Linked DNA regions of Canis lupus familiaris. The protein of the gene in region 2 interacts with the protein of the main gene of each other region in a pairwise test. Links are inferred from orthologs where the notes say so. Each region holds a gene or a part of one and is shown on either strand. Other genes may lie near its edges.

What was found.
Region 1: the proteins of TXLNB (region 2) and CT55 interact in binary tests that used the Homo sapiens proteins (3 or more experiments, as listed by UniProt). The two-hybrid records come from large-scale screens. The link is inferred for Canis lupus familiaris from reciprocal best matches to the Homo sapiens genes TXLNB and CT55.
Region 3: the proteins of TXLNB (region 2) and EXOC5 interact in binary tests that used the Homo sapiens proteins (3 or more experiments, as listed by UniProt). The two-hybrid records come from large-scale screens. The link is inferred for Canis lupus familiaris from reciprocal best matches to the Homo sapiens genes TXLNB and EXOC5.
Region 4: the proteins of TXLNB (region 2) and NMI interact in binary tests that used the Homo sapiens proteins (3 or more experiments, as listed by UniProt). The two-hybrid records come from large-scale screens. The link is inferred for Canis lupus familiaris from reciprocal best matches to the Homo sapiens genes TXLNB and NMI.
Region 5: the proteins of TXLNB (region 2) and CEP57L1 interact in binary tests that used the Homo sapiens proteins (3 or more experiments, as listed by UniProt). The two-hybrid records come from large-scale screens. The link is inferred for Canis lupus familiaris from reciprocal best matches to the Homo sapiens genes TXLNB and CEP57L1.
Region 6: the proteins of TXLNB (region 2) and LURAP1 interact in binary tests that used the Homo sapiens proteins (3 or more experiments, as listed by UniProt). The two-hybrid records come from large-scale screens. The link is inferred for Canis lupus familiaris from reciprocal best matches to the Homo sapiens genes TXLNB and LURAP1.
Region 7: the proteins of TXLNB (region 2) and CEP63 interact in binary tests that used the Homo sapiens proteins (3 or more experiments, as listed by UniProt). The two-hybrid records come from large-scale screens. The link is inferred for Canis lupus familiaris from reciprocal best matches to the Homo sapiens genes TXLNB and CEP63.

The regions. Positions count from the first base shown.
Region 1 is NC_049260.1:106,945,753-106,949,933, forward strand, and holds the start of CT55 (cancer/testis antigen 55), read right to left. Parts: upstream 2,801-4,181; 5' UTR 2,604-2,800; coding exon 2,504-2,603; intron 1-2,503. UniProt on the Homo sapiens protein: Plays a role in spermatogenesis, possibly acting in the regulation of the autophagy pathway.
Region 2 is NC_049222.1:31,692,715-31,696,806, reverse strand, and holds the start of TXLNB (beta-taxilin), read left to right. Parts: upstream 1-1,292; 5' UTR 1,293-1,448; intron 1,449-3,933; 5' UTR 3,934-3,947; coding exon 3,948-4,092. UniProt on the Homo sapiens protein: Promotes motor nerve regeneration. May be involved in intracellular vesicle traffic.
Region 3 is NC_049229.1:33,150,853-33,155,055, forward strand, and holds the start of EXOC5 (exocyst complex component 5), read right to left. Parts: upstream 2,801-4,203; 5' UTR 2,566-2,800; coding exon 2,539-2,565; intron 1-2,538. UniProt on the Homo sapiens protein: Component of the exocyst complex involved in the docking of exocytic vesicles with fusion sites on the plasma membrane.
Region 4 is NC_049240.1:54,265,781-54,269,850, reverse strand, and holds the start of NMI (N-myc-interactor), read left to right. Parts: upstream 1-1,270; 5' UTR 1,271-1,499; intron 1,500-4,070. UniProt on the Homo sapiens protein: Acts as a signaling pathway regulator involved in innate immune system response.
Region 5 is NC_049233.1:66,409,365-66,413,543, reverse strand, and holds the start of CEP57L1 (centrosomal protein CEP57L1), read right to left. Parts: upstream 2,801-4,179; 5' UTR 2,668-2,800; intron 1-2,667. UniProt on the Homo sapiens protein: Centrosomal protein which may be required for microtubule attachment to centrosomes.
Region 6 is NC_049236.1:14,262,365-14,266,605, forward strand, and holds the start of LURAP1 (leucine rich adaptor protein 1), read right to left. Parts: upstream 2,801-4,241; 5' UTR 2,691-2,800; coding exon 2,493-2,690; intron 1-2,492. UniProt on the Homo sapiens protein: Acts as an activator of the canonical NF-kappa-B pathway and drive the production of pro-inflammatory cytokines. Promotes the antigen (Ag)-presenting and priming function of dendritic cells via the canonical NF-kappa-B pathway.
Region 7 is NC_049244.1:31,766,936-31,771,117, reverse strand, and holds the start of CEP63 (centrosomal protein of 63 kDa), read right to left. Parts: upstream 2,801-4,182; 5' UTR 2,793-2,800; coding exon 2,659-2,792; intron 2,430-2,658; exon of another isoform or gene 2,355-2,429; intron 2,321-2,354; exon of another isoform or gene 2,194-2,320; intron 1-2,193. UniProt on the Homo sapiens protein: Required for normal spindle assembly.

The DNA.
Region 1 (4,181 bases), on a different chromosome or scaffold from region 2:
GCCCTACCGTGGGAAGATATGGGAGACGATGATCTAAGTCTAGAAACAAATTGGGCTTGCTCTGAGACACAGATGATAATGACTGAGGAGCATAGGGATTGTTTGGGAAGCAGAGTGCTCATGCTGAAAGGCTGATCCCACCATTTCTCTGCGAGGCCCAGTGGCCAAGTGCCCTTGGTAGTGGGACTTGTAGTAGGTGCTGAGTCTGGAACCAGACTGCCTAGCTGTGAACACAGCTCCTCCCTTTACCATCTCTGTAACCCTGGGCACATTTCTTAACCTCCCTGAATCTGTTTCCATCTGGAAAACCAGGGCATTACTAATGTCTGCCTAGGAGAGTAGATCTTATAAGCTCTCCACACACACACACACACACACACACACACACAGGGTAACTATATAAGGTGTGGATGTGTTAATGAATCTTATTGTGCAATCATTTCACAATATATAGGTAACAAGTTGTCATGCATACCTTATATGCAAATTATGTCTCAATAAAGCAGGGGAGAAAGGGTTGTTACAGTTATTAACTGACACATACATGTCAACTGCTTAAAATTGAATGCCTCCCACAGGTTAGAGCTTACACATTAGTTGTCATGGTTTCTGCATCTAGAGAGTCTTTAAACAGCCATTATTGTTATAGAATTTTATCATCAACAAAAGCGGCAGCAGCAGCACCTGGAGATTATTGAAACATCTCACCGAACAAAGCACACAAAGAGATCTGGGGGTTTAAATCTAGCCCAAATGTGGATCCAAAACACTCAGGTTTACTTATTTATTTATTTCATGAACAAACACAGCTAATAAGCCATAATTTGATATCTGAACCTAGAGAATAAGCCCACAGGGCCCACTATGAACCACAACGCCTTAGGTGCCATGCCAAAGTGAGGCTGGGAGAAACATTGCTTACAATTTGATTTCAGAAGCCAAGAAGATCCTGAAAACTTTTTTTTTAAAGATTTTATTTATTTATTCATGAGAGACACACAGAGAGGCAGAGACACAGGCAGAGGGAGAAGCAGGCTCCACGCAGGGAGCCCGATGTGGGACTTGATCCCGGGTCTCCAGGATCACGCCCTGGGCCAAAGGCAGATGCTCAACCACTGAGCCACCCAGGCATCCCCTGAAAACTTTTTTTTAAAGGATTTTATTTGAGGAGGGCTTAGAAAATTAAAAAATAAAGATTTTATTTATTTGAGAGAGAGCACCCAAGAGAGGGGGTGGGTGGAGCAGAGGGAGAGGGAGAAGCAGACTCCCCCCTCCAGTAGGGAGCCCGAGGTGGTGCTCAATCCCTGGACCCAAGACCCGAACCAAAGGCAGACGCTTAACCCAACAGAGCCCCATAGGAGCCTCTTCTAAACTATTTTAAAAATGGGTCAAATTTGTCAAGTGAAATCACAAAACATATGGAAATGGAAGGTACAAGGGTGACAACTGCCACCTAGGCTCATGAAAATAAATCAGAAACTCTTCTGCATCGTCCCATTGGCAAAAATATGGCTACCGGCTAAGGGATGCAGCGGCAGCGCTTCCCGCTCAAGCTCGGCAGCAGCCCTCCTTGGCCCACTGGGCCGAGAATCCGCCAACTCTGCAGGGCTCACACTCCTCCGGCAGAGGAGCTGCAGGCCCAGTCAGGCACCAGGAAGGCTGGGGCCCTGCTGGGAGGACTGCATCCACCAGAGATGACCCTTTCCAGAATCGGGCCCAGAGCCCGCCCTGCACTCATTCTGGGGAAGGAGGCCCCCCAGAGGCGGGACCGGGGCACACCCAGCAGGGAATGGCTGCTTGGCCTCCGGGTCTGGGTAACACCAGCCGGGTGCCGGCTCTCCCCTGGTTGTGTCTCCCTGACCCGGCTGTAAAGTGAACGTGACAATACTCCCCGCTCCCTGTGGGGGTCTTCCAGCCTTGAGCCCAGGGCTTAGTCCAGACAAATGCTCGGCTCATGAGAGGAACACTTCAGAACAGGACCACCATCCACCTCAGCACACCCTCTCAGTTTTCATGGGGACTCACCGACACCCTGATGCCTGTCCCGGGCCTCCTGAGTCTCCCCCTCAGTGCCAGACCCTGGACTGTGTCAGGATACAAAGGTGAGCAAGTTAACCCGTGGCCCCCAGCCTCCTACCAGCGACTTGACCACTTGGATTCAAATATACGCATGTTTGGGAAACGAGATCAAATGCACCCTCAAATCAGAGAGATCCACTACTACTGGAAATATGAAAAGGAATCTGTTGTACATACCATACACACAATGTAAGTTTCAAAGGCATGGGGCCGGGAGGTAATGCAAGGGTGGTGCATAGTTCCCCAGGGGCCTTCCCTGTTTACACCACCGTCACTTTGGGCAGGATGGTTCCGGGCATGCTCAGGGACTCAGGGACCCCTCTCCCCACAAGGAGGCGCTGGCATGGCTATGTGGCGCCCTTCTGAGCCCCGGAAGTTCTGAACTAGGTGCTGGCCCGTGGGAGGGAGAAGACAAATTAAATACCTTCCAATTCCAAGAGCCTCATATGCTGCTCCCTCTCTGCCTCTGACGAGTCTATCTTCCTCCGGAAGACGGCAAGAGCCCTGGAAATCAGCCGAAGCATGGTCCCGTTGCTAGGGCAGCCTGCGGCCCCCAAACACAGCACCAAGCCTGCTTCTGTCCACGTCTCTGCCACCCAGCCGCACTCTGACCCCAGCAGCCCCTCAGACCACACGCTGGTTCCTCCGCACCGCGGGACGTCTAGTCAGGTGCCTTCATGAGCTTTGGCTCAGGCTACCACGCGAAGGGCCTTAACATGCCCCAGCCCATCATCCAGCCAATGAGGACCCAGTGCGCTTAGTGCCAGCCACTCAGAGGCTGAGAGCTGATGGGCGGGACTTCATGGGCTCCTCCCACCAAGGCAAGGGCGGAAATGCGGTGACCCACCAGAAATCACTTCCAGTGAGACCTCGTTTTGCACCTCTTAGAGTAGAGGTGGGCTCTACTCTGTGGTCTCTGTGGGCTTCTAAGGGAGGGCCTGATGCCTGTTTGAAGGTGGCACAGCAACTTGTCCCCAGGTTGGAAGCATGCCCCCAGGCGTGCAGCCTCTACCCCTCACGGAGTGAATTATTTTCTCTTCCTTTGCCTCTGAGTGCCCTCCACGGCCACACAACCACCACCAGCCCCACCTCCTCACCCCTACACTCACTCCTCAGGGAGACTTGGTGGTCAGCTCTAAGCAACGGCTTTCTGTTCAGTGTTAAATGAAACCACAGATCCTGTGGAAAAGGCCTAACTTGCACGTCTACAAGGGTCTCAAAATGTAGCCTGTGTCTTGCTCTTGGAAGGGAGCCAACGGTGCCAAAGCACTCACTATGGTGCCGAGAGCCACACTGAAGTACGATCTGGAAATGAGGATGATTAGATGAGGAGGGCGAGGAGATGTGGCACGAAGCAGAGTTCGGATTGCGTCCCTATTCTTTTCTTCTGGGTAGCACGCAGACATCACATTTAAAATATTAAATGGAAAAAAAAGAATATTAAATATTTTAATAGCAAAATGAGTTTATTTGGAAATAGGAGACCAACTGCAATTCAGGACACGTGAACTATGGCGAACTGTAAGCAAATACAGAGTACAACGAAAAGCTTTCTTTTTGTCCTAGCAGACAGGAAGTTGCCATGGGTGGTTTTCAAGGAAAGTTATTGGAGGAGAGTGAGAATCAAGGTTGTGATGGCCTCTCATTGTCTGGGTTGTGGCAGTTTCTCATTGGCTGGGCTGTTGCTGAGCCAGGAGGAAATCTTCCTTCCTGTTGGGGGCTGCAAAGGCTGTTTAAGAGTGGTGGTGTGTGAGAGCTCTCCTTTTAGAGCTCCCTGCTCCATATTAAATACGGTTGCCTTCAATAATTTTCACATATCCCTCTTTTGATCAAGATGCCCCAGTGGCTTATGGGTTTAGCTCCGCCTTCTGCCTGGGGCATGATGTTAGAGACCCAGGATTTTTTTTTTAAGGTGCAGGTATTTTTTTTTCTTTTTTTAATTGGAGTTCAATTAGCCAACATATATCATAACACCCAGTGCTCATCCCAAGTGCCCCCCTCAGCGCCCATCACCCAGTCACCCCACCCCACCCCCGCCCACCTCCCCTTCCACGACCCCTTGTTCATTTCCCAGAGTTAGGTGTCTCTCCTGTTTGTCACCC
Region 2 (4,092 bases):
TAATTTAGAAAGAAGTTCTTTTTTCTCTCACCCACTTTAGTTCACCAACTTTATCATCAAATGATGCAGTAAAAGGCCTATTGTCTTTATGACTGGGATTCTTTATCCTGACCTCTACTTGTTGGGAACCCTTATCTGTACATACCTTATGCCTCTCCTAAACTTAGAGAAAGGTATGAGAAAACATTTGGGAACAGATTATTTTAGTTTTGACACATTACTCTGACCTCTTTTGAAGTCATTTTCTGACTCTAACCCTCCGACTCAGACCCTTATTTATTTTTAAGGACCCTTGCGATTACATTGGGCCCACCCAAATAATTCTGGATAATCTCCCCATCTCAAGACCCTTAATTTAATCACACATGCCAAGTCTCTTTCAACATGTAAAGTAACATACTACTGGTTCCTGAAATTTGGATGTGGACATCTCTCTGGTGGCACTATTCTGCATACCACAGCCGGTGTCATTATGCCCAGCCAGTCCCAAGAGCAGCAACTCTGATGGAGGAGCCTACCTCGGAAAAGTGTGAGAACATGTTCTCTAGAAACAGAAAGGAAAGGGCACCGATGTAAGGTAAGAGAAAGAGGCCGTTTTACAGTGAATCAAGAGAAGGTTCTTTTTCTGACAAGGATTAAGGAACAAGTTGAAGACATAAAAAGGGTGGACAAATTTGGGAAAGCAGCTGGTGGAAAAGCCTCCAACTTAGGAAGAAAAAGCGACTGCCTCCCCAAGGGCTTATCTGAGACGTGAAGGTGGTGACATGCTTCAGACGTGGGATCTGAGGCCAGTTAGGCCAATTACCGTGTCCATGAAGATGCCACTAAGCCCAGTGCCAAGAGAGCCACCTCCATTCGTATTTCGAGTTTTACAACAAACCAATAACATCAGAATTAGAGGAGTTTTCCCACCACCTCCCTATTGTTAAGCCACTGGGTTTTCCCCCCATGATTCCTATAAGAAACCTGACACTAATTGGACTAGCATAAGAAGGGGAAAAAAATGAATCACAGATTGCACTGGAAATAAACTAAGGAATAAGAAAATATGACCTCTGCCCAAAAGAACAACGATGAAAAATTGCACCGAGGGGCTATATATAGTGAGCATTTAGATTTTTAAAAGGACAAAACATGGAGTCTGATAAGATCTACCAGCTGTTTCTCTTTCCTCAGACCTTTGCCTAGAAGACAGCTACTGAAACTTGGGTGTACCTCTCTCTTGCTGTGTCATACACGGTTCCTTTCCTTCCCCACCCCCTCCCTGCTCTCCTGCCGCCCTGGCGCCTGTGTGTGTGTGTGTGTGTGTGTGTGTGTGTGTGTGTGTGTGTGTGGTTTCTCTCTCTCCCTTGTAAGAACACAGCTGCCTGTCCCCTGCTGTCACCGCTCCTCTGACTAGCTTCTTGCTGCCTCTTGCCTCTCCTTTCTGCTTAGCTCCCTGTCTTCTGGTAAGTGCGACAATCGCTCCCCGAACCCCGTGAGAAGCTGTAGGGTGCGGTTTGTGGTGTTCGAAACTTGCAACTTTGAGATTGCCAGTGAACTCTGAAGAACTTTCCATTGTTTTATTTATAATTGAAATGTGTTGCTCAGGAAGGGATGTGTGTGATAATTTGCTGGACTACCCAGTACAAGTGAAAAATTCTGAGGAGAGAAAAAAGGCAATAAAGTTTATTAAGAAGATAAAATTTAGAAATAATTTCTTGCTGTCAATTAATTAATATGGAAAGGAATCATTTAAAGTAGCAGAGTTCTCTGACTTTAATTTTCTCCCTCTTGGTGATTTATCTTGAGGCTACTTTTAGGAATTGAGTTGTCTTGTGGTTTACAATGACTCAGTTATTCTGTATTAAAGTAAATGTGGGCAATGAGTTTAAAGGATATCCATGGAATTAATATTAAAAACATCAAGGACTGTGGCCTCTGAGGAATGAAGAATAAATCAAATACAAGTCAACTTTTGCATTTAGACTAACCATACTAAAACTCTTGTGAGCAGTCAGTGTTAAATTCATTGCTTTGAAGTTGGGGTTTACTTTAGATTTTATTTCATACTAAGAAGACTCCCTAACACTTTAAAACCCACATATGTATTTAAGCCAGTAAATGTTTACTGCTTTTAGTTTTGATTTTAAAAGGATTCTCTTCCCTTAATTTTCAAAGAAGTGCTAAATGCCATGGCTCCTTTTAGAAGAGCTTAAAATAACTTCTGGCTGGACAGCAGGTGCCATGTATCTTTCTCAGAGTTTAGGGGAGGCGTAAGTTATATATAGACGAGTGTGCCCAACAAGTTGGGGTCAGGATAAAGAAATACCAGTGGTGAAAACAATGAGGCTGTTTACTGCATCTTTTGATGATAAAGCTGGTGAATTAAAGTAGGTAGGAGAAAAAAGTACTTCCTTCCAAGTTAATGAGCACTTGATGAAGGCCGTAAGTGGGTGGCAATGGCTGTAGGCTGGATTTTCCGTTCTTGTTGGGGTTCAAGCACTTGAGATCCCCTGCCCTGAGAATGAGAGGAGGAAGCTGTGCAGTGCATGGAACAGTATGTTTTTGGTTTTCTTCTCGAGCTACCACAACAGCAAAACCTGTGCATTATGAGAAACTTGTCATATTTTTGTGTCGTTCATTAGCAGCATCCCCATTAAATACCATTAACAAATAAAAGGCACCATAACTCCAAGGTCAACTCTATTGCAACCCTAGAAATGAAGATGGCCAGAATTCCTAAAATTCTTTGACTCACCTTGTACTTCAGCCCCTCTTTCCAAAGAGCCCACATTATATGTGGATTATTTCCCAAGTTTATCCCCTCCCTATTCATTAAACAGTGCTATTTCTTAAAAATTAAATTATGAAGTTAGCCTAGAGCTTCTTGACTGAGAAAAAAAAAGAGTTGTAATCTGTGTTTTTTTTTTTTTCTTAAAGAAAGTCAGTTTTTATATTGGAACACGAAAATATTAATAAAATTCAAGAAATTATTATTATGACCATCACCATGGTTCCATACTAGCTTTTGGTTAATTTGTACCTTCCTTCATTCTTCATTTTATCCAAAAATGGAGCTAGTTTGAACCTCAGAAAACGTGTTTTGCTGATAGATGATTAAGTGTTGCTCATTTGAGGAAAGGAAAACACCAGAAAAGCAACAAAGTATTTCCTGTATGTAGTATTCATTTATTTATTTATTTATTTATTTATTATTCATTTTTATCAATGTATTCATATTTATCAAGTCTTCACTTATGGATTAAAATAGACTAGGATTGGAGGGATCCCTGGGTGGCACAGCAGTTTGGCGCCTGCCTTTGGCCCAGGGCGCGATCCTGGAGACCCGGGATCAAATCCCACGTCGGGCTCCTGGTGCATGGAGCCTGCTTCTCCCTCTGCCTGTGTCTCTGCCTCTCTCTCTCTCTCTCTGTAACTATCATAAATAAATAAAAATTAAAAAAATAGACTAGGATTAGGACTGCTGTTGTTATGAATGATTTTAGTAAGTTCAGTGGCTCTTATATTAAATGTTTTAACTTTGAAAAAAATAACAGCATTTTAAACATTTTAAATACAGCCATCCATCCATGTACTTCCAATGACTGTAAGTCTACATAGAATAAAGTAAGAGAGCGATAACCAAATTGGCTTAAGCAATATGACAAATATAACATGAAAAACAATATCTTGAATTACTCCATTAATGTCAATCATAGAAATTTCTACTGGAATTTAAAGACCAAAACCAAAAATATGTTCACAGTATGACTTGCTTTGGAAAAATGGCTTCCCACTGTTTTTACATAACTAATTGCAATATCAATGGTTTGCAAAAGTACATTCATTCTATGTTAGAAGCCATAATTAATAGGTGCCCTTTGGGGGATATCCTTACATTTTATGTGTAACTTGGTTAACTATATAAAACCTGACTATGCTTATCACTAGATACATCTCCCAGTATGGAGATGAATCATTCTGTGCAGCTCTCAGGGGAACCCCAGTCAACACCTCCAGGAGACAGTTCATCATTACCCAGTCAAAATGGCTTGGAGAAGCAAGATGATAAGGATTCCTCAACCTCACTCCAAGCACCAGAAGGGATAG
Region 3 (4,203 bases), on a different chromosome or scaffold from region 2:
TGGTCAATCTCCGGGATATATACGATTAAAATAACTGCATCATCTGTTATTAAATCATTTCTGCCAAATGAAGAAATATCTTGGAGTTTGATTTTGTTGTATGAGTGTGTTTACATTATAAAAGGAAGTCTCATAGATTCAACAATAAGATTTTTAAAGAAATAGATTTAACAGTTATGAAACTTCATGGACTCAAAGCATAATTTTGTATTAATTTAACCTCTTCTTCCATGTGGAAATGAAAGCAGAATTCAACTCAGCAGTGCATTAAAATCAGGATGTATAAACACAAAATATCCTGAGTACATCCTGACCTCTGTTTCCTACAGTTCTCCAGCTGTGACTAAAAAAGGGAAGAGAAAAAGACACTTCCTGACATGTCCTACAATCTGGATCCTATGGTAGTAGCAACAGGAAATGGCAGCGATGACTGAATGAAGTTATGTTTTTTGTTTTCCTCCTCACTCTAAAGCAAAGAGACCCAACTTTTCACTTAGGGATGAAAACTTATCCAAGAATAGTCCTGTAGGCTGAAAAGATAATTACATTTCTTAATTGTAACTATTTACATTTAATTGTAACTTTTATTGTAATATGCTTTTAATTTTGATGAAGCTACAAAAAAGGTCACATGAATTAGGATCTATAAGCATGTTTAAGGCTACCCTATGAACCCTTTGGCCACAGGACTAGTATGCCTATGCCATCACTGATCAGTTAAGTGAGTATTTCCAGCTATACATAACGAGTCACTCAGGTTAAACCCTAATATGGTTCACCTACTTCACTAAATAGTGTAACACTAGAAAGCAAATATATATATGTGTGTGTGTGTGTATATATATATTTCTCAAGAAATATATTTGTTTGCATTTTTCTATCTCTTCCTTTTTATCCTAGGGGTAAGGAGAGCAGAAATCATATATATTTTCAATTAAATTAGGTGACTCGTGGCCAAACATTAAAGAAAAAAAGACATAATATGCTTGGAGACACAAGGGGAATGTCAAGCAGGATTTATTAAGTCACAAGTTAATGCCTTGGGAACCATATAAGAAAATGATAGTTTTCTATTAATAGCTGGCCACACATTTCATTTAGTAAATTAAAGATTGCAACTTCATAAACCGGTTTCTACCTTTATAAGATGTGAAAGATAAAACAAGGAACTATAGAACTACTTAGTATCTTGCTCAGGAACACACAGTCACAGCTTTTAACAAAAGAATGTCTCCCTGCTCCTGCATCAATCAATAAACAGATGGCACAATTTTGGAATTAGGCAAGCTAATACAATACACCTCCAACATACCTGAGAACATACAATTAATATTTCCGAATTCTTTCTTGTAATTATAATCCTTCACTTAAAAATTATTATGTATTAGTTGTTATAGCAATAGTATATGAAATTCCTCCCCAAAAAAGCATTATCTACCCAAGAACTGACAGGAACCCAAAATCTAAGTAACAAATGAAAAGTTCCCAATTGTTGCAAAAACCGTGACATTCAAATTTTAAGCCAAAAAACCTGCTGACTCTTAAGCAGAAAAAGAATCCAATTTTCACTTGTGGAGAAATTCTCAGTTGTCAACCGTACTCTTCTCAATTATTACTTAGCCTTTTTGTTACTCAATTTGAAACACAAAAGCACACACAAAAAGGGCCTTTGCTTTCTTTTTCTTCACGTTTCTGTTTTCATTTCTTTCACAAAAAGAGACCCTTCATATTTCATTGTCTGGTGGTCCAAGCAGAATTTTCCTGTTCTATTTATCTCAATCGCCACAGCTTCGTCTTACATGGAATTTCGCTAAGTTAAATTTTAAGTTGGAGAGAGTGAAAAACGCTCAAGGAAAACACATTAGAATGCTCATTGTCTCAGGCGCTAAGGATTCTTTATAGCTTGCAGTGACGTGGGTCTTAAAATGCATTTAAATTCCCGGAGACCCGAACAAAAATGTTAATTAACCAGTTTCACCTCCCCCTTCAGTCTGAAGACTGAAGTAGGCCTTTATTGTCCTAAAAAAAAAAAACAAAACACTTCAGCTTATTTGAATGTAAGGGGAAACTGGCAGGCACCTGAGTGCCACTTGTCACGTTTAGCAAGAAAATGATTTTAATTACTCAATAGTCGTCCCAGTCTCAGGTGGCCCCCTCAGAATATTGCGCGAAGATCCAAGCGACGAGACCGGGGCTCGCCCCACCTGGGGCTGCCGGCTCCTCGCTCCGCGCCCTGAGTCAGCCCTTCCCACTTCTCTCATTCTGAGTCCACCTTCCAACCCCTGAACCTCCGAGGCCCCCCTCCTCCCCGCGGACTCCAGCCTCGGCGCCCTGCCCACCTCCCCACCCGAGTGCCCCCCGCCGCCCCTCCCCCACTTCACGCTCCGCCCGCGCCGCCACCGGAGCCGCCACCGGAGCCGCCACCCCACCCCCCGCCCGCCGCACCTTTCCTCCCCGGGCCGCGGCCGCTCCTCCGCCCGCCCACCTCGCTGCCCGCGCCCGGGGCCTGCCACTCCCCGAAGAGCCGCAGGGTCTCACCTCGAAGAGCTCGGCCGTCGTAGCCATCCCGGCCGGCTGAGAAGCTCGCCTCGCGCTGGAAGCCGTCTCCTCTTCACATGCTGCGCCTCAGCGGCGCCGCGCACAGGTCCCCGCTCGGCTCGTCAGCCCTGGCTCCGGGCCGCCGCGGGCTCCCCGACTCCCCACAGAGCCCAGGCGGGGCGGGAGGGCGGCCATGAAGCGAAGCCGCAGACGCCTGTCAGCTGCCTCCCGGCGCCGCCCGCGCCGCTCCCATTGTCACCGCCTCGTACGCCGGAAGTGGAGCTGCGCGCCCTGTTGGCTGTCGGGAGGGGCCGAGGAGGGAATCCAGCAGCCGGCGAACTGCAGAGAGACTGGTGGCGGGGGCGGGCGAGGAACCCTGACCCTTGCGGGCCACCGTCCCGGAAGTGGGCCTTAGAGGAAGAAAGGACCGGAGTTGCTGAGGAGGAATGCCTCTGGAGATTCTGGGTGAGGATTCACAGGACTTTTGTGGCATGTGTTGACAGGAGGGCCTCGGAGGTTTGAGTCACTTCACCTGAACGAGCCTGCGTCTCTGCTGAGCCCCGCCTGTCTGTGGCGGGCCAGAAGGTGGCACAGCTTGGGTGAGCCTAGGATCTTCCGGTAGGCGCCCGTCTGAGAAAGCCGGCCTGCGCCTTTCCTCCGTGGCCACCTTGGAGAGGAGTTGATGCTTTAGGGGCTTATCATGGCCCAGCGGGCAGTGTGGCTTATAAGCCACGAGCCGGGAGCTCCACTTGGCGGCACCGTCAGATTCTCCAGGTAAAAGCAGTTTGAATTCTCAGGGGTGATGGATCGGATGGGTGTTTGATGCACTGTGGCTTCGGGGGTGTCTTTGTCCGCCACTTTGGGCAAGTTACCTAACCTCTTTCATCTGTTACACGGAGATCTTAGCACTGCTACTTGATAGTGTTGTGAGAATTAAATGAGTTGATGTTTGACACATACTAAGCATCGTGTGCTTTTCAGTGTTAGTATTACTACCTTTTTAAAAATATATGTTTTTTATTTCTTTATTTGACAGAGCGCGAGCACAAGCAGGGGAGGCGGCAGGCAGAGGGCGAGGGAGAATCAGGCGCTCTGCTGAGCAGAGGCCCCCAAGTCGCGGGTCTGGATCCCAGGACCCCGGCTGGGATCATGACCTGAGCGGAAGGCAAAACCCGTAATGGACTGAGCCACCCAGGCGCCTTTAATTAACTCCACCTGCTCAGTAATGGAGGTTAGAGATGACCAAAGGAAGAGAAGGAAACTTACTGCGCACTAAACATGTTTCAAATTTTTATACTTTCGTTAATAAAGATCATTCAAGGACTTTTTTTTTTTTTTAGCTCATTCTTCCAGAAAATTTTTGCTGAGCAGTGAAAGACCCGTCATTTTCGTATTGTGTTTTCATTGTTAGGAACTTCCAGATGGGTTACTTTGAAACTGCTTATTGTTGAAGGAAATCAGAAAAGTACAAAAAACTAAATCGTATTCACTTTTTCTTAGAATGGTGTAAGCTGCTGATCTGGCTCCACTCTTAGAATTTGCCGCAAATTCTTTCAAAATTGTTCTGGGATGAGAATTATAACTCATTATGAAATGCAAGTGGCAGTTCTGTAATCTGTATCACCTTTTATTCTTAGTGGCTATTGACAGTTCTTTCTTGCCAAC
Region 4 (4,070 bases), on a different chromosome or scaffold from region 2:
CCCGCTGCGCTCAGTACCGTGTGGCCGCAGCACTGTCTCCCGGGCTGGGTGCCCCGACGTCCCGGGGATGCACCTGCCGCCCGACCGCTACCTGGGGGCCAGGGCAGCTGTGGGTGCTTCTGGGAGGAGCAGTAAGAAACGCTGGGTTCTTGAAATGAGCCAGATGTTTTCATTTTCAAAGGAAAAGATCACACTTAGGGAAGTATGTATGTATTTGCGAGCTTCCCAACAGAAAGCTGCAAGAGAACCTTCCCGGGCCGCGGAAGCCAAGGGGACAGCGCGGCCTTCCCCGCCTGGGGCTCGCAGGTGGCGCAGGAGGCTCAGGCCCGGGCTCGGGGCCCGGCGGCTGCACCTGTCGGCTACGCACCTGCAGGCGAGGGTCAGCGCCCCGGGACCTGCTGCCCCGCGGACGCGCCTCCCCCGGGCCTTCCTGCCTTCCTGCCCACCTTCCCAACAATACGTCCAGTAACACGCGCACAGGAAGGAGTGATTTTTCCTTAGAATGGGTGCCCGTGCACCCTTCAGGAATACTTTTTGGACACACTCAAAATGAAAACAAAACGGCCGCCTCTTGCACAAGAAGCCACGGCCCCTGGGGTCCCTGCCTCTCACTGGTGCCAAGGCTCGGCCTGGCGCCCCTCGGACCTGCTGCGGCCCAGCCTCCCCGGCCGCGCCCTCCTGGGACCTGGGACTCCGCGTCCTTACAGGATCCTATTTGTTCACGGAGATTTGTTCACGGAGACCCGGAGACCTGTGGGGGGAGGGGGGGACGGAGGGGGGCCCGGGGGAGGGGGAGGCCCGGGGGAGGGGGACGGGGGCCGCGGGGAGGCGCTGCAGGCTCCGGGCCGCCCCCGGGGGTCCCGCCGACGCCCCCGCGCAGCCCCCGCCCGCAGCGCCCCGGTCCCCGGCCGCCGCCCGTCCGCGGGGAGCCCCGAGGCCGCGGGAAGCGAAAGTGAAAGTCCTGCGGGAGGCGCGCCCCGGGGAGCGAGCGGGCAGCCGGCCTGAGCGTCCGCCTCGGGGTTCCCGCCGCCTCCGGGCCCCGCCGCTCGCCCCGACGGACGCCGCCTGCGCCCGAGGTGGGTGCGCCCTGGGCTGGGGGTGCGGGGGCGGGGCGGGGCGGGGGGCGCCCTGCGGGGCGGCCCGGCTCCCGGGGAGGCCGCGGGGGAGGCGCGTCGGGGCGGGGGCAGCGGCCGGGTCCCCGGGCGGCCCGAGGCGGCCGCGTGCGCAGGCGCCCCCCTCCCCTCCCCTCCCCTCCCCTCCCGTCCCCGCCCCCGCCCCTCCTGAACCCGGAAAGGCCCGAGTCGCCTCCCGGCCGCGCAGGGGGCCCGGACTCCGACCCCTGGGGCCTCGCGCGCCGGGGCAGCTGCGGGGGCGGCTGCGGGGGCTACGGCCACGCCTTCCTCCTGCACCACCTGCGACTGGGAGCTCCGTCCGGTCCCCGCGGCCCGCGGCACAGACGCCCTGGGGGCAGGCGGGTGACACTGCTGGGGGCTGCCGAGGTGACGGGGGCGCTGCCGGGGGGGGAGGGGCTGCCGGGGTGACGGGGGCGCTGCCGGGGGGGGGGGGAGGGGCTGCCGGGGTGACGGGGGCGCTGCCGGGGGGGGGGGGCTGCTGAGGTGACGGGGGCGCTGCCGGGGGGGGAGGGGGCTGCCGGGGTGACGGGGGCGCTGCCGGGGGGGGGGCTGCTGAGGTGACGGGGGCGCTGCTGGGGGAGGGGCTGCCGGGGGTGACGGGGGCGCTGCCGGGGGGGGGGGCTGCTGAGGTGACGGGGGCGCTGCCGGGGGAGGGGCTGCCGGGGTGACGGGGGCGCTGCCGGGGAGGGGCTGCCGGGGTGACGGGGGCGCTGCCGGGGGGGGGGGCTGCTGAGGTGACGGGGGCGCTGCCGGGGGAGGGGCTGCCGGGGTGACGGGGGCGCTGCTGGGGGAGGGGGCTGCCGGGGGGTGACGGGGGCGCTGCCGGGGGGGGGGCTTGCTGAGGTGACGGGGGCGCTGCCGGGGGGGGAGGGGCTGCCGGGGTGACGGGGGCGCTGCCGGGGGGGGGGCTGCTGAGGTGACGGGGGCGCTGCCGGGGGGAGGGGCTGCCGGGGTGACGGGGGGCGCTGCGGGGGGGGGAGGGGCTGCCGGGGTGACGGGGGGGCGCTGCCGGGGGGGGGGCTGCTGGGGTGACGGGGGCGCTGCTGGGGGAGGGGCTGCCGGGGTGACGGGGGCGCTGCCGGGGGAGGGGCTGCCGGGGTGAACGGGGGCGCTGCCGGGGGGAGTGGCTGCTGAGGGTGACGGGGGCGCTGCTGGGGGAGGGGCTGCCGGGGTGACGGGGGGCGCTGCCGGGGGAGGGGCTGCCGGGGTGACGGGGGCGCTGCCGGGGGGGGGGAGGGGCTGCCGGGGTGACGGGGGCGCTGCCGGGGGGGGAGGGGCTGCTGAGGTGACGGGGGCGCTGCCGGGGGAGGGGCTGCCGGGGTGACGGGGGCGCTGCCGGGGGAGGGGCTGCCGGGGTGACGGGGGCGCTGCCGGGGGGGGAGGGCGCTGAGGTGACGGGGGCGCTGCCGGGGGAGGGCGCCGGGGTACGGGGGCGCTGCTGGGAGGGCTGCTGAGGTACGGGGGCGCTGCCGGGGGGGGAGGGGCTGCGGGGTGACGGGGCGCTGCCGGGGGGGGAGGGGCTGCTGAGGTGACGGGGGCGCTGCCGGGGGAGGGGCTGCGGGGTGACGGGGCGCTGGGCCGGGGGGGGCTGCGGGGTGACGGGGGCGCTGCGGGGGGGGGGGCTGCTGAGGTGGACGGGGCGCTGCCGGGGGGGGAGGGGCTGCGGGTGACGGGGGCGGCCGGGGGGGGCTGTGAGGTACGGGGGCGCTGCTGGGGGAGGGGCTGCCGGGTGACGGGGCCTGCCGGGGGGGGGCTGCTGAGGTGACGGGGGCGCTGCCGGGGAGGGGCTGCCGGGGTGACGGGGGCCTGCCGGGGAGGGGCTGCCGGGGTGACGGGGGGCGCTGCCGGGGGGGGGGCTGCTGAGGTGACGGGGGCGCTGCCGGGGAGGGCTCCGGGTGACGGGGGCGCTGCTGGGGGAGGGGCTGCCGGGTGACGGGGGCGCGGCCGGGGGGGGGGCTGCTGAGGTGACGGGGGCGCTGCCGGGGGGGAGGGTGCCGGGGTGACGGGGGCGCTGCGGGGGGGGGGCTGCTGAGGTACGGGGGGCGCTGCGGGGGAGGGGCTCCGGGGTGACGGGGGCGCGTGCCGGGGGGGAGGGCTGCCGGGGTGACGGGGGCGCTGCCGGGGGGGCGCTGAGGTACGGGGCGCTGCTGGGGGAGGGGCTGCCGGGGTGACGGGGCGCTGCCGGGGAGGGGCTGCCGGGGTGACGGGGGCGCTGCGGGGGGAGGGGCTGCTGAGGGTGACGGGGGCGCTGCGGGGAGGGGTGCCGGGGTGACGGGGCGCTGCCGGGGGAGGGGCTGCCGGGGTGACGGGGGCGCTGCCGGGGGGAGGGGCTGCTGAGGTGACGGGGGCGCTGCCGGGGGAGGGCTGCTAGGGCGGGCGCGGTGGGGAGGGGCTGCCGGGGTGACGGGGGCGCTGCCGGGGGAGGGGCTGCCGGGTGACGGGGGCGCTGCCGGGGGAGGGGCGCTGAGGTGACGGGGGCCTGCTGGGGGAGGGGCTGCCGGGGTGACGGGGGCGCTGCCGGGGAGGGGCTGCCGGGGTGACGGGGCGCTGCCGGGGGGGGGGGCTGCCGGGGTGCGGGGGCGCTGCCGGGGGGGGAGGGGCTGCTGAGTGACGGGGGCGCTGCCGGGGGGAGGGGCTGCCGGGTGACGGGGGCGCTGCGGGGAGGGGCTGCCGGTGACGGGGCGCTGCCGGGGGGGAGGGGCTGCCGGGGGTGACGGGGGCGCTGCCGGGGGAGGGGCTGCCGGGGTACGGGGCGCTGCGGGGGGGAGGGGCTGCTGAGGTGACGGGGGCGCTGCCGGGGGGAGGGCTGCCGGGTGACGGGGGCGCTGGCCGGGAGGGGCTGCCGGGGTGACGGGGGCGCTGCCGGGGGGAGGGGCTGCGGGGGTGACGGGGGCGCTGCGGGGGGGGGGGCTCCGGGGTGACGGGGGCGCTCCGGGG
Region 5 (4,179 bases), on a different chromosome or scaffold from region 2:
ATTATATATTTATTGTTGATCTCTCCCTAATAGAATGTAAGCTCAATGAGAGTAGGAACTTTTGTACAGGTGACCTTCGAACAACGTGGGGGGTTAGAGGTGCCAACTCCCCACCAGGAAGTAAAAAAAAAAAATCCCACAACTTTTAATCCATAGAACTTTTGACTCCCCCCAAACTTAACTACTAGAAGCCTACTGTTGACTAGAAGCCTTGCAGATAACATAAGCAACACATACTCTGTATACATATTATATACAGTATTCTTAAAATAAGTAAGCTAGAAAAAAGAAAATGCTATTACAAAAGCCATAAGGAAGATAGATTTACACTAGTGTACTGTATTTATCAAAAAACAATCCATTTGTAAGCAGACCTGTGCAGTTCAAATCCATGTTGTTCAAGTGTCAATGTATATTGTGCTCAATGACATATGTACTTGTCCCATTACATAGCACTCAACAGATATGTTGGAAATTTGAAATTAGGTGGAAATAGGAAAACCAGCGACTAAAGAAAGATCTGTATGGCTGAAGTAGCGAGAGGTGGAGAGTGGTAGATACACGAAGTGAGGCTGCAGTGGTGGAAAGAGACCAGAGGCTATTAGGCTTTTTACAAACAAGTTTTGCCTTAAGAATAGTGAGACAGCAATGAATGATTTTAAGAGAAGTCTGGCCAGGACGTGCATTTCAAAAAGTTCAGTATGGCTCCAGTGTGGAGAACTAATGGAGAAAGGCCAGAGTGAACAATCACTATGACAATGGTCTTGGCAACAGATTACGGCAGTTTGGAAAAGGCTGTGCTTACGTAGATCATGGGTACAGCTGGATGGAGCTATACGTCTACAAGTCACAGGTGGCAGTGGAACCATGTGTATGGATGGGAGCAGACTCAACTATGCAGGCAAAAGGGGATCTAGATTTAAGAAACTACGCTATGCATTGGACAAGGAGGAGGAGCCCCAAAAAAGGACAAAAAAGGAATGTCTTTTTAAATTTTTTGAAATCATACTCACAAGTTCACATTTTTTTTTTTTTAAATCAGATTTAAACCAAGTAGCATAAAAGTAGCAAGGCCTTTTCAAATCAGACTAATTCATTTAAACTGTCAAATCTGTCCAAGGTCAGGTCACTCTCAGAAACCATCCGGAAAATTCACAGGGCTGGTCTCTTTGCGGCTTCAAAGTAGATCAACACACAGGAAGTTACCCTTCCCAAAATAGAGGGGATTTTGGCTTATTGCAGTTTCCTGAAAGTACTGTCTCTCTCTCTCCCTTCTGAGCCTCACCATAGGCTTCTTCCGGTCTTCTTTCCCTGGGATGAAGAATTTCCCTGACTTTCCAGGATTAAGCCAAGAGACCCTCTTTCTAGACGTCCCAGATAGCCAGCTACCATACTGTGTACTGTAATTGTGTATTTTACTACCAGATGCCATCACTGGAGAGGGGGCTGCGGCTTTTCCCCCTGTTGCATACTCAGCACCTCACAAGGAGAAATTTCTAAAATTCAAAAACGGAATTTAAATTTAAAACTTAAGTACGCTGTTTAAAATAACTTATTTGACTTTACTATTATCATTATAATTTAAAATTTAACTAAGTTATCTAAAATAACTTATTTGACTTTACTATTATCATTATCATTTTTTTTTTTTTTTAGTTTCTATTTAAGTGGCCTCTACACCCAACACGGGGCTCGAACTCCCCACCCGGGGAACTGAGCCGCCCCGGCCCCTCCACGGCTCCACTGGTGTAATAAACGCCATCCATCCCACCATGCGGAGAATTAAAATCTCATTGACGAACCGGACGGCCCTTCACACCTTGACTTTTCTCCAGAGGTACGACTTTTTTACAAACAAACATGAACCTTTTATGCAAATGAATCCTTTAAAATAAAAAATAAAATAAATTAAAATAAATAAATAAATAATTTAAAATAAAAATAAAATAAAATAAAATAAAATAAAATAAAATAAAATAAATAAAAAATAAAATCGGGCAGCCCGGGTGGCTCAGTGGTTTAGCGCTGCCTGCAGCCCAGGGCGTGACCCTGGAGACCCAGGATCGAGTCCCGCATCCGGCTCCCTGCATGGAGCCTGCTTCTCTGTCTGTCTCTCATGATTAAGTAAATAAAATCTTAAAAAAAACAAACAAACATACTAAATCTTGGGAGATTTTTTTTTTTTTTAAATAGCATCACCTAAGGGGGGGGGGGGGGGAAGGCTGCAAACGTTCCCATCCAGGGATGCTGGGGTTTCTTCTTTTCCCCTTAGTCTCTCGTGCAAAATGAATCTGACAACTGGCTTCTGCTCGGGATCTCCTTTGGGCGCAGAAAACACACAACATCCCCCGCGCAAAGGCGGACGCCAGGGCCAGCGCACGGGGTCACCTAAGGCCGCCCTCGCGGGTCCCCCCGGCAGAGGTGCGAGCGGAGGCCGCGCGCGGGGCAGCCGTTCCCGCCGCATCCCTTCCTCGCGCCCCAACGCGCCCTCCGCCCGGGGCGCCCGCGCTACTCCTTCCCAGACACACCGGACAAAACCCCCTGGACTTAAGAGGCCATCTTCTAGATGCCTCGATCTCCAAAATCCCTGAGGAAACGAAGGAAAAAAAAAAAAAAAGCCTCAATTGGCAGCCGAAACCCCCCAGCGCTCCCCAAATCGACGCTTACCAAGCTCCGTCCGCGCTAACCGTTGGCTCGAAGGCCGCCACGGGCAACGTCGCAGGGGCTCCTGGGGACTGTAGTTTCTATCGCCCGCAGAACGCGCCGGTACATCAAAACTACACTTCCCAGAAGCCAATGCGACGACGCCCCCTCCCCCCCCATCCCACCCCCACCCCTGCCTTCTTCAATCTCGGATTTGGCGTAATAAAGACACCGTCACTCTTTCCAAGCTGATCTTAAGTGAGGATGCGGTTTCCTCCAGGTGTGTGTCTAAGCCCTCTTGGCCGTGCTCGGCCTCTCTCCGTAATAGCTTCATTGTACTTGTACTTCTTAACTTTTCTTTCCCCGGCTCCGAGCCGGGAGAATCCGTACGTCACGGGACGGAAACGCCCCCGACGCAAAAAAAAAAAAAAAAAAAAAAAGTCCGTTCGGCGCATGCGCTCTGTTCGCCATCACGCATGCGTAGCAGCCGGTTGCAGTTGGCGGCCGGGCGCGGACTTGGGGTCCGGAGGTAGCCCGTCGGAGGGCGGGGCTCTTTCCAATGGCTTTGCCTCCGCGGGTCGCGTCTGCTTGGGCGGGGAAGAGGGCGCTGGGGCAGGGGCGGCTCCTGGTTTATGCCGGGCGGAGAAAGGGGAGGGGCTGCAGGGGGGTGAGGACCCCCATCTCCCCTCCCTCCTCCCGCCCTCTGGGCCGAGCCCCACCGATGGGGCTGGGCGAAGGGGCGGGCTCTGCGCCTGGGGCCTCGCTTGTGCGCCAGCTCGGCGGCCCGGCCCTGCGCGGGTCCGGCTTAGCGGGCGGTGGGCGAGGACGCAGGTAGAGGAAAAGAAGTGGCGTCTGCCCGGGGTTCCGGCGTCGCCGGGGCCGGGGCCGCTTTCCTCCAACGCTGCAACCGAGGCAGCGGCTGCAGAGGCTGCCCCGCCCTGCACCCTGCACCCTGCACCCCGCACCCTCCCCCCTCCAAGGAGCGCCCGGGTCTCCGACCCCGGCGGCCGGCGAGCAAGGAGGGCTTGGCGAGGCTTCCCCGGCAGCTGCCGGCCGGCCGCCGAGGCGGAGGGCGGAGCTGCGGAGGGCAGGGCCTGGCGCCGGAGGAGGGGCGGGGTGGGAATGCTCCCGGGAGCTCGGTGGCCGCCCGGACGAGAATCCCCGAATGGCTGGGGGCGCCTTCCACTGCGAGCGGCCTTCCTGGGCAGAGCTGGGATTTGACAGCTGCACGACGTGAGGATATCCGCTGACCCCGCGAGGCGGAGGAGCGCACTTCCCCGAGGCGGCCTGTCCGGCCAAGCCAGCGCTGCAGGGTTTCAGCTTTCCAACTTTTTTTGTGCGTGTGTCTCTGCCAAGAGGACTGCCCTGCCCCTTCGTGTAGGAGAGAAGGGTGAGTTGTGCCCCGCGTCGGTCCAAAAAGACGCTTCGTGGTTCCAGATGTCACCGAGGCCGCTGTGTTTTCACGGCGACTCGATGTCCCCGGTTTTCTTCTTCTCACGTGCCTCGTTTTAAAAGTGACCAAGTGCTCGTGGGGAC
Region 6 (4,241 bases), on a different chromosome or scaffold from region 2:
CAGTCCCAGGGTCACGAGTATGGCTTCCTCCTTGCTCAATCCAAATCAGGCCCTGGGGTAAAGCCAGGAGATTCCAGGCTCAGCTCCCTGGCCAAGGATTGAGATTCTCAGACTAACGTTACTAGGACTATCTGGTCCCACAAGCCCCTGTCCCTTCATCCTCCAAGAATCAGGAAAACTGAGATCAACAGAAAGTCAGGGCTCTACTCAAGACCTCAAAATGGGGAACCCTGGGTGGCGCAGCGGTTTGGTGCCTGCCTTTGGCCCAGGGCGCGATCCTGGAGACCTGGGATTGAATCCCACGTCGGGCTCCGGTGCATGGAGCCTGCTTCTCCCTCTGCCTGTGTCTCTGCCTCTCTCTCTGTGTGTGACTATCATAAATAAATTAAAAAAAAAAAAAAAAAAAAGACCTCTAAATAATTCAGAAGCTGAGTCAGGACTTGAACCCAGGACATCCCCCTCCTTGCCTAAAGCTTTTTTTCAGGTTGCCCTGTGAGGGTGGGTTGTCGCAGCAACAGTTGTTTGAGTAGGAGGATTAAGTAGGGGAGGTTGCCATTGTTTCCCTTCCCACCAACCCCAGAGTCTGGCTGGTTCACTGAACCTGGGAGAGGGGGAGGGAAGCAAGAGGAAAAGGAGCCTAGAGGCAGGAATAACCTTGGCCTTAGGAGCATGACTGCCCACTCCCTGCATGATTGCTGGGAGAGGGACAGTTGGAAGGACTGTGTTCAGAGAGCTTGGAACAGTTCTGCCACTGAAACCCTCTGCCCAGCCCCCACAGTGGGCAGGGCTGAGTACACAATGACATCAATGACATCTTGGCCAAGGAAGGAGAAAGGAATAAGGGAGGGAGCCTTTCCCTGTTCTGGCCCCCAGCAGGCCCCCTCCTTCATGGGCAGCCTAGAGTCCCAGGCCAGGCTAGGTCGAGAATGCAGAGACCTAATCAGAAGTTAAATGTACCCCCTTTAAAGTTTACAGACAGGTAATCTCCATCAAAGGCAAAAGAATCAGAACCAAAGAAGAGGCAGGGCTCCTCCACTGGTTCCCTGTGTGAGGCCAGGCGAGCCCCTTAACACCGGCAAGCCTGCCTCATCTACGCGATGGGGGAACGATGACTGCTTTTCCCACTTCAATGACATAAAGCGTCTTTAAAGTCTTTAAAGTGGCACAAAGCAGATCTCAATGGTAAAGATGTAAAGTGCAGGCAGATGGTCTGAGTTCAAAGGCTGGCTCTGCTTTTTACTTTTTGTACGACCTTGGGCAGTTACTTAACCTCTCGGTGCCTCAGTTTCTTTATCTATAAAATATCACTTGCCTAATAGGGTTGCTGTGAGGAGTAAGAGAATATTTTGTCAAGTGCTCAGCATGATGCCTGGCACCACTTTATACGATGAAGCAAAGTCAAGCCCCTCCCTCAGGTGGGCAGTCACAGGCCTGCTCTGAAGAATTTGGTATTTACCTCCAACCTTCAGGGCCAAGCACACACTTGGCATTTAAATCCTTCCCCCAAGGAGCCTTCCCTGATTGCTCTGCTCAGAAGGCTCCGGTCTCAGCCTAAGAGCCCCCATGCCCTCCTCTGCTCTCTCACAGCCCAGCTAGGCAGATGGTGGGCTCCAGAAAGACCTATTAGCTGACACACTCACTGTGGCCTCCTGGTTCTGAGCCAGAGAGAATTCTTCAGTTCCCCAGAACTGGCTGCAGAGTGGTGGCAGGTGTAAATTACCCCCTTCACTGGAACCAGGGCCTTGGGGAGCCTGGGCAGCCCCAAATGCCCTTCTGGCTCTGAATCTAGACTAGCAGCAACAAAGGAGGGGGAGGGTGCCTGTTTCCTTCTCTTCTCCCCAAGAAGGTACGAGATACAAAAATCCAGTATACCTGGGGGGCTCAGAGGCGATGAAGCCAATGCTGATGGTGCTATTACTCTGATGCCCGGGGTTCTAGGAACTTCCAAGTACTTTAAGTGGGGGTTGGGGAGGGGGGTTTGGGGAAAGGGAGGATGTTTTTTTTGTGGCTCTAGTCCAGGCAGTTTTCACCCAGATCTCTTCCAAGCTGAATCTTGTCATGAACACTGAGGCCTCAGATGAGCAAACTCTGGGCCCAGTTTGCACCAAAAGAAGAAACTGGTTGCCCCATAATGGAGGCCAGGGGAGAGATGGCCCCTGGTGGAGGGGTGGGGTGGGGAGGGGAGAGATTTGGGCTCTGCTAGGTTCTCAGTGCTTCCCAGCCTCACCTCTCCCCTCCCAATTATTTGGTAGGAAAAACTTCCAGGAGCCAGTGCCTCCCACCTCAAGTCTTCAGGACCCATCAACGCCCCACTCACCTTTGGGAGGGGCAATTAATGAACCCCGGGGTTTAAGGATTGATCTGGGAGGGATCCCGAGGAGTTAGGTAAGGAGTCTTAACTCTCGCCTCTCCAGCCCAACTCTGGGGGCATAAGTCTGTCCCTTCCAACCCGGCTGGGGACTCCGGCCCCGGCCCCCGCAGCCCACACTCACCAGCTCCATCCTCAGCGCCATGATCTTGTCCCCCAGGCCGTGGCCCGCGCCAGGCGCCCCCGGGAGCAGCGGGGCGCCAGAGGTTCCCGGCTCCCCTTCGCCTCGCAGCCCGCGGAGCAGCCCTTCGGGGGTCTTCCTGCCCACCTTGCCCTCCACATCTCGCAGGTCAGGCGTCTGGGACTCCGCAGTCCCCTCCATGCGGGCCTACGGCTGAAGAGGACCGGGCGGCCGGCCGGCCGGCCGGCTGGGGCTGGGTCGCGGGGGTCCTCGACTCCCGGCTGCCGGCGCCCAGCGGAACGGGTGGGTCCCCGCCCGCGCCGCGCGGGGGCGGGCGGAGGGCACCGTAACTCTCAGAAAAGCCGCGCAGACTGTGCCGGCGTGCGTGCGTGTCTGTGCCTGTGCGTGTGTGTGTTCGAGTGCTGCGCGCACACGTCTGGCCCTGGAATGGGTGGGGCTGGGCGATCTGTATGTACTTGGATTTGTACTTGAAGGAGCGCTAGCAGAGTTCAGTGCCTTCTCCCCATTCTGCCGACTGAATCCGGCCCGGCATACAGCAGGCATACAGCAGGCGTTCGATAAGTGTTTGCTGAACAAAGCCTAAGCACCCTCAGCCATAGGGGAGTTTAAGGAACAGTGGTGACCCAGAACTGCAGAGGGTTTTGAAAGGCTTCCTGGGGTGGGGTGGGAGGGTTGGGAGGGTTGGGTCTAGAACAGTGGTTAGAATCTAGCTAGCTACTGACACCCACATGCACTTTCAGTGTAGCCACGGAATTTATTTTTTTTAAGTTTATTTATTCATTTAATCTAAAGTAATCTCTAGGGCACCTGGGTAGCTCCGTGGGTTAAGTGTCTGCCTTCAGCTCAGGTCATGATCCCAGGGTCCAGGGATGGAAGGAACCCTGCATCAGGCTCCCTGCTCAGGAGGGAGTCTGCTTCTCCCTCTCCCTCTCTCAAATAAATAAATAAATAAAATCTCTCTCCCTCTCTCAAATAAATAAATAAATAAAATCTTAAAAAAAAAATGTAATCTCTATGCCCAATGTAGAGTTGGAACGCAGACCCAGAGACCAAGAGTTACATGCTCTTCTGACTAAGCCAGCTGGGTGCCCTGCCACTGAGTTTAGATTAAAGAAGTAGAAAATAACACTTCTGGCCAATGAGAAGCAACTAGTATTGAAGATAAAAAAGTCCAGATCGGCCAGATCATGCTTGATCCTGTAGACTGATGCCTTTTTTTTTTAGACTGATGCTTCTTAAGCTTGACTGCATTTGAATTTTCTGCAAGCCTTGTTAAAATGCAGATTGTGATTCTGTAGATCTGGGATGGGGCCTGCGGTTCTTCTTTTCTAATAAGCTCCTAGGTGACGGCCATGTTGCTGATCGAGGGACCACACTTGGAGTAATGTGGCTATAGAAGATGGTTCTATGGTGCTTGGGTTGTATTTTATAGGCCATGGGGAACCACAAAAAACTTTTTTGTTTTGGCTTGATTTGGGTGTTTAATCCAAGTAATTCCAGCGCATGGTCACAGAAGGATTTACAATGCAAAGATAGTTAACCAGCTCTTTCCTTTCCCACCTCTAGCCCCACTCCCAGAGGCAACAACATTCAGCTTTTTTTTTCCTGGTGTTTATACACATAACCCCACATACGCTTATACAGTACTACTATTTCTTAATTTTAAATATTGTCTACCAACTTCCTAATACAATCAATATGATTTATCTCACTTATACTCTGTATTTCCCC
Region 7 (4,182 bases), on a different chromosome or scaffold from region 2:
TTAAGAGAGAGACAACTCAGACATTTCATACCTCTCTGATAATGCAATAGATTGTCTACTGTACCACCTGGAAAATCGTCTTGACCCCCCCCCCACACACACACACACACAAAATTAAAGTTAAATCTGATCTTCTAGATCAGTGCTATTCAACAGAACTTTCTGCAATTATTGAAAAATTTTACTTCTGCACCATTCAAAGGGTAGCCACCAGGCACTTGTGACCACTGGGCACTTGAAATGTGGCTAATGAAGCCAGGGAACTGAATTTTTAGTTTTATATCATGGTAATATTTAATAGCTACAGCTGGCTGGTGGCTACTATAGTGGACAGTGCAATTCTAGATCTAACTACTGGTTTAAAGGGAAAAGATGTACATGTTAAAAGGATGTCATGCAGATGCAATCAGCTAAATCTAGAATATTAAGGGGGACAAGGGACACAAGGGAACCGCTCTATTTAAAAAGATTTAATCGATGTATCAACCAATGCAACATGTGAATCTCTATGGGATTTTGCTTCAAAAGAGCTAATTGTAAAAAGTCACTTAAGGGACACTTGGGGAAATCTAAACCCAGACTGAATATCGACATCATGGAATTTTTATAAATTTTTGTAAGTGTGATGACAGGACTATGGTTTTGTAAAGCTGAAAAAGCAAATTTAGCTGCGGGTACCCTAACATAAAAATTTAGCTGCGGGTACCCTAACATAAAAATAAATTAAATCCTTGCAATCCCTGTTCATGTTGGCTTCAGATGAATTTCAAATCAAGTTGACTTTTTTTTTTAAGTAGGGAACTCTGATAGAGTGGTTTACTGATCTTGTCACAGCTGGCCACCACTGCAACGTTAAATGAGAAAAGGAAGGACAAAGCAAAGATCTTCTACCTTCTAATGCGAGGAATATGGCACAGTACACTTAACATACACATTTATTACAAATAATTTTTAAAACCTGAACCTACATGCACTGAAGGGCAGTGTGAATGTCTAAATGTTTAGGAGTCTGTAACCCAAGAGAATTTCACTTCTACTATACTGATCACTGAGAACGGTGTAGCCAGAGGGGCAAGAAGCTGATGACAAACTAAAGGCGGTACTGTATTTCAAGTAAGAAAATACAGAAGCTTATTATATGATTACGCTACAGCTATAATACGTGTAAATGTGAATATGTAGATGTTACATGTAGTTGATGGTCCTTACTAGGGCTTCCTCTTCGCCTCTATAAAATAAAATAAAACGGAATGCAAGCAGTTAGGGAACTTCTGTATTACCGTAGTGTACCTACACTATAATACTTCTTTATTAAGTGTGAAATTATTTAAGGAATCGGATGAAAGGCTCAAGGAAAACTACTCTCTGCAAATAAGGCTACTCTAACTACAAATCAAGACTAGTCAATGACCTTGGACTCGTTTTTACTCTGAGGCTGGTAAGGAACGTTAAGGAAGACAGTATGCGCCCTAGGCTTAGGGCCCTCAAGTATCTTCACGATTAAAGTGCTCCTAAGGGGGGATCCCTGGGTGGCTCAGCAGTTCAGCGCCTGCCTGTGGCCCAGGGCCTGATCCTGGACACCCGGGATCGAGCCCCACGTCGGGCTCCCTGCATGGAGCCTGCTTCTCCCTCTGCCTGTGTCTCTGCCTTTCTATGTCTATCATGAATGAATAAATAAGTAGAATCTTAAAAAAAAAAAAATTTTTTTTTTTAAAGTGCCCCTAAGGGGCAGCCTGGGTGGCTCATCGGTTCAGCGCCTGCCTTTGACCCAGGGCGTGATCCTGGGGACCCGGGATCGAGGCCCACCTCGGGCTCCCTGCATGGAGCCTGCTTCTCCCGCTGCTTGTGTCCCTGCCTGTCTCTCGTGAATAAATAAATAAAATCTTTTAAATAAATAAATAAATAAATAAAGTGCTCCTAAGGAACTGTCCCTTTTAAGCCCTGGATCATTTCTTTCGCGCCCCTGATGTCAGACGATCGGTGAACTCAGGGTTTCCCAACTTCTTCAGTCCTTCACGATTCCTGCATTTCCGTACCTCTTGGACGAACATTATTAACTCACTTTTTAAAAACTGCTAAAAAAAATTTTTTTTTTAAATAAAAATAAAAACTGCTCGTGCCCCCCGCCCCGCCCCCAGGCGAATCGGCCCCAGTGCCGCCAAGGCTAAGCCGCAACAACGCTGGGAAGCTAACCAGATCTGGCAGCCTAGGCGGGAGGGCTGTGCCGGGGGTCCCTCCTCTGCAAAGGAAGAGCGGCCCGCAGCCGGCTCCGCCGCGGAAGACGAGGCCTGGGCGGCAGCTCGCCCCCCCCGCCGCCCTCCCGCCGGCCCGGCCTCGGGGGAGGGGCTGACCACCTGGCTGGCCCGGACGGCGCGCCGCCAAAGGCCACGTCCGCCTTCGCGGCTCCGCAGGGCACACGCGGCGAGGCCGACGGGCGGGGCGCCGCAGCGGAGCCGGGCCGGCGAGGGCGGGCCCGGGGGCCAGCGGGCGGCGGCGGACGCCAGCCCCGGGCCGTACGGCCGGGCAGCCCGCGGCGCCGCCGCAGCCAGGGCTGCCTCCGGACCGGGACACGCCCGCCCCTCGCCCGTCCACCGGGCGCACATGCGGTTACTGGGCCGCTGCGCACGCGCGCGCGCCCCCGAGCCTTCCCGCCGTTACCTCCGGCCGGGGGCGCGCACGCGCGTCACCGCCGACCCCGACGTCCGGCCTCCGCCGTCCGCACGTTCGTTCCGCCCACTGCCCCCTCGCTTCTTCCTCGGAGCAGCGTCCTCCCAGGACGCCCCTCCGCGCATGCAAATGGGCTCACCCACATCACATCCGGGGATCGGAGCGCAGGACCGCGCGGGTCACGTGATCCTCAGAGGCGCGGGGTGGGGGGTGGAAGTTCCGGTGGAAGCGGGTGCGGCGCTGAGTCCGGTGCGGGTAAGGCTTTCCCGCGCCCCTAGTCCCGGTTTTGGAGGGACGAGGACGCGTTGGTTCCTCAGCGGCGCCTCTCCCCGCTCCCGTCAGTGGAGGCCGATGTCTTCACTTCATCTTCACAACCACTGTCCCCACCGCTCGCCCTGGAGGGTGGAAAGGCACTCGCGTGGCGGCTCCGGGCCTCCCCCGCTTCCACACTTGGTATCTCCAGCCGGAAGTGGGGACCGGGGCGGCCCCCTGCTTGCGGACGGCTGGTGGTGGCCCGCGAGGGTCATTTCTAGCGCGGGGGAAGGCGGGCCCGCTTAGTTCGCGTTAACCGCCGGCTTGCGGATCTGCAAAGCACAGAAACCGGATGACACCACGGGTCTGGGAAAGTGTGACGAGCTCCGCGTTGGGACCACTCGCTGTGTCCAGGGAACTGAGGGACCCCAGGAGGGACGAGGACCGCGCCCCGCCTGGGTCTAGGAACCGCCCTCCTGCGGGAGATGACCCGGGAGCCAAGTCTTGTAGACTGATGGGGGGCGGGGGGTGGCTGGAAACATTGTACGGAGCACCTGCTCCGGAGGCCCCGGGCTGTCACGTGCGTAAGAGAAGGTTCGTTAGGGAAGGTAGTAGTGTCTCATTCTGTCGAGTGTGGCACGTGCTCGGGACAGTGGCCGTGTCCCGGACGTTGCCGGTCTTTTTTTTTTTTTTTTTTTAATTTATTTATTGGAGTTCAATTTGCCAACATATAGCATAACACCCAGTGCTCACCCTGCCAAGTGCCCCCCTCAGTGCCCGTCACCCAGTCACCCCCCACCCCCCTGCCCTCCTCCCCTTCCACCACCCCTAGTTCGTTTCCCAGAGTTAGGAGTCTCTCATGTTCTGTCTCCCTTTCTGGTGTTTCCCACTCATTTTTTCTCCTTTCCCCTTTATTCCCTTTCACTAATTTTTATATTCCCCAAATGAATGAGACCATACAATAAATGATTGTCCTTCTCCGATTGACTTATTCACTCAGCATAATACCCTCCAGTTCCATCCACGTCGAAGCAAATGGTGGGTATTTGTCGTCTCTAATGGCTGAGGAATATTCCATTGTATACATAAACCACAGCTTCTTGATCCATTCATCTTTCGTGGACACCGAGGCTCCTTCCACAGGCTGGCTATTGTGGACATTGCTGCTAGAAACATCGGGGTGCAGGTGTCCCGGCGTTTCACTGCATCTGAATCTTTGGGGTCTTGATCGTTTCCATTCTTCAGCCCCTGAAGATTCAGTGA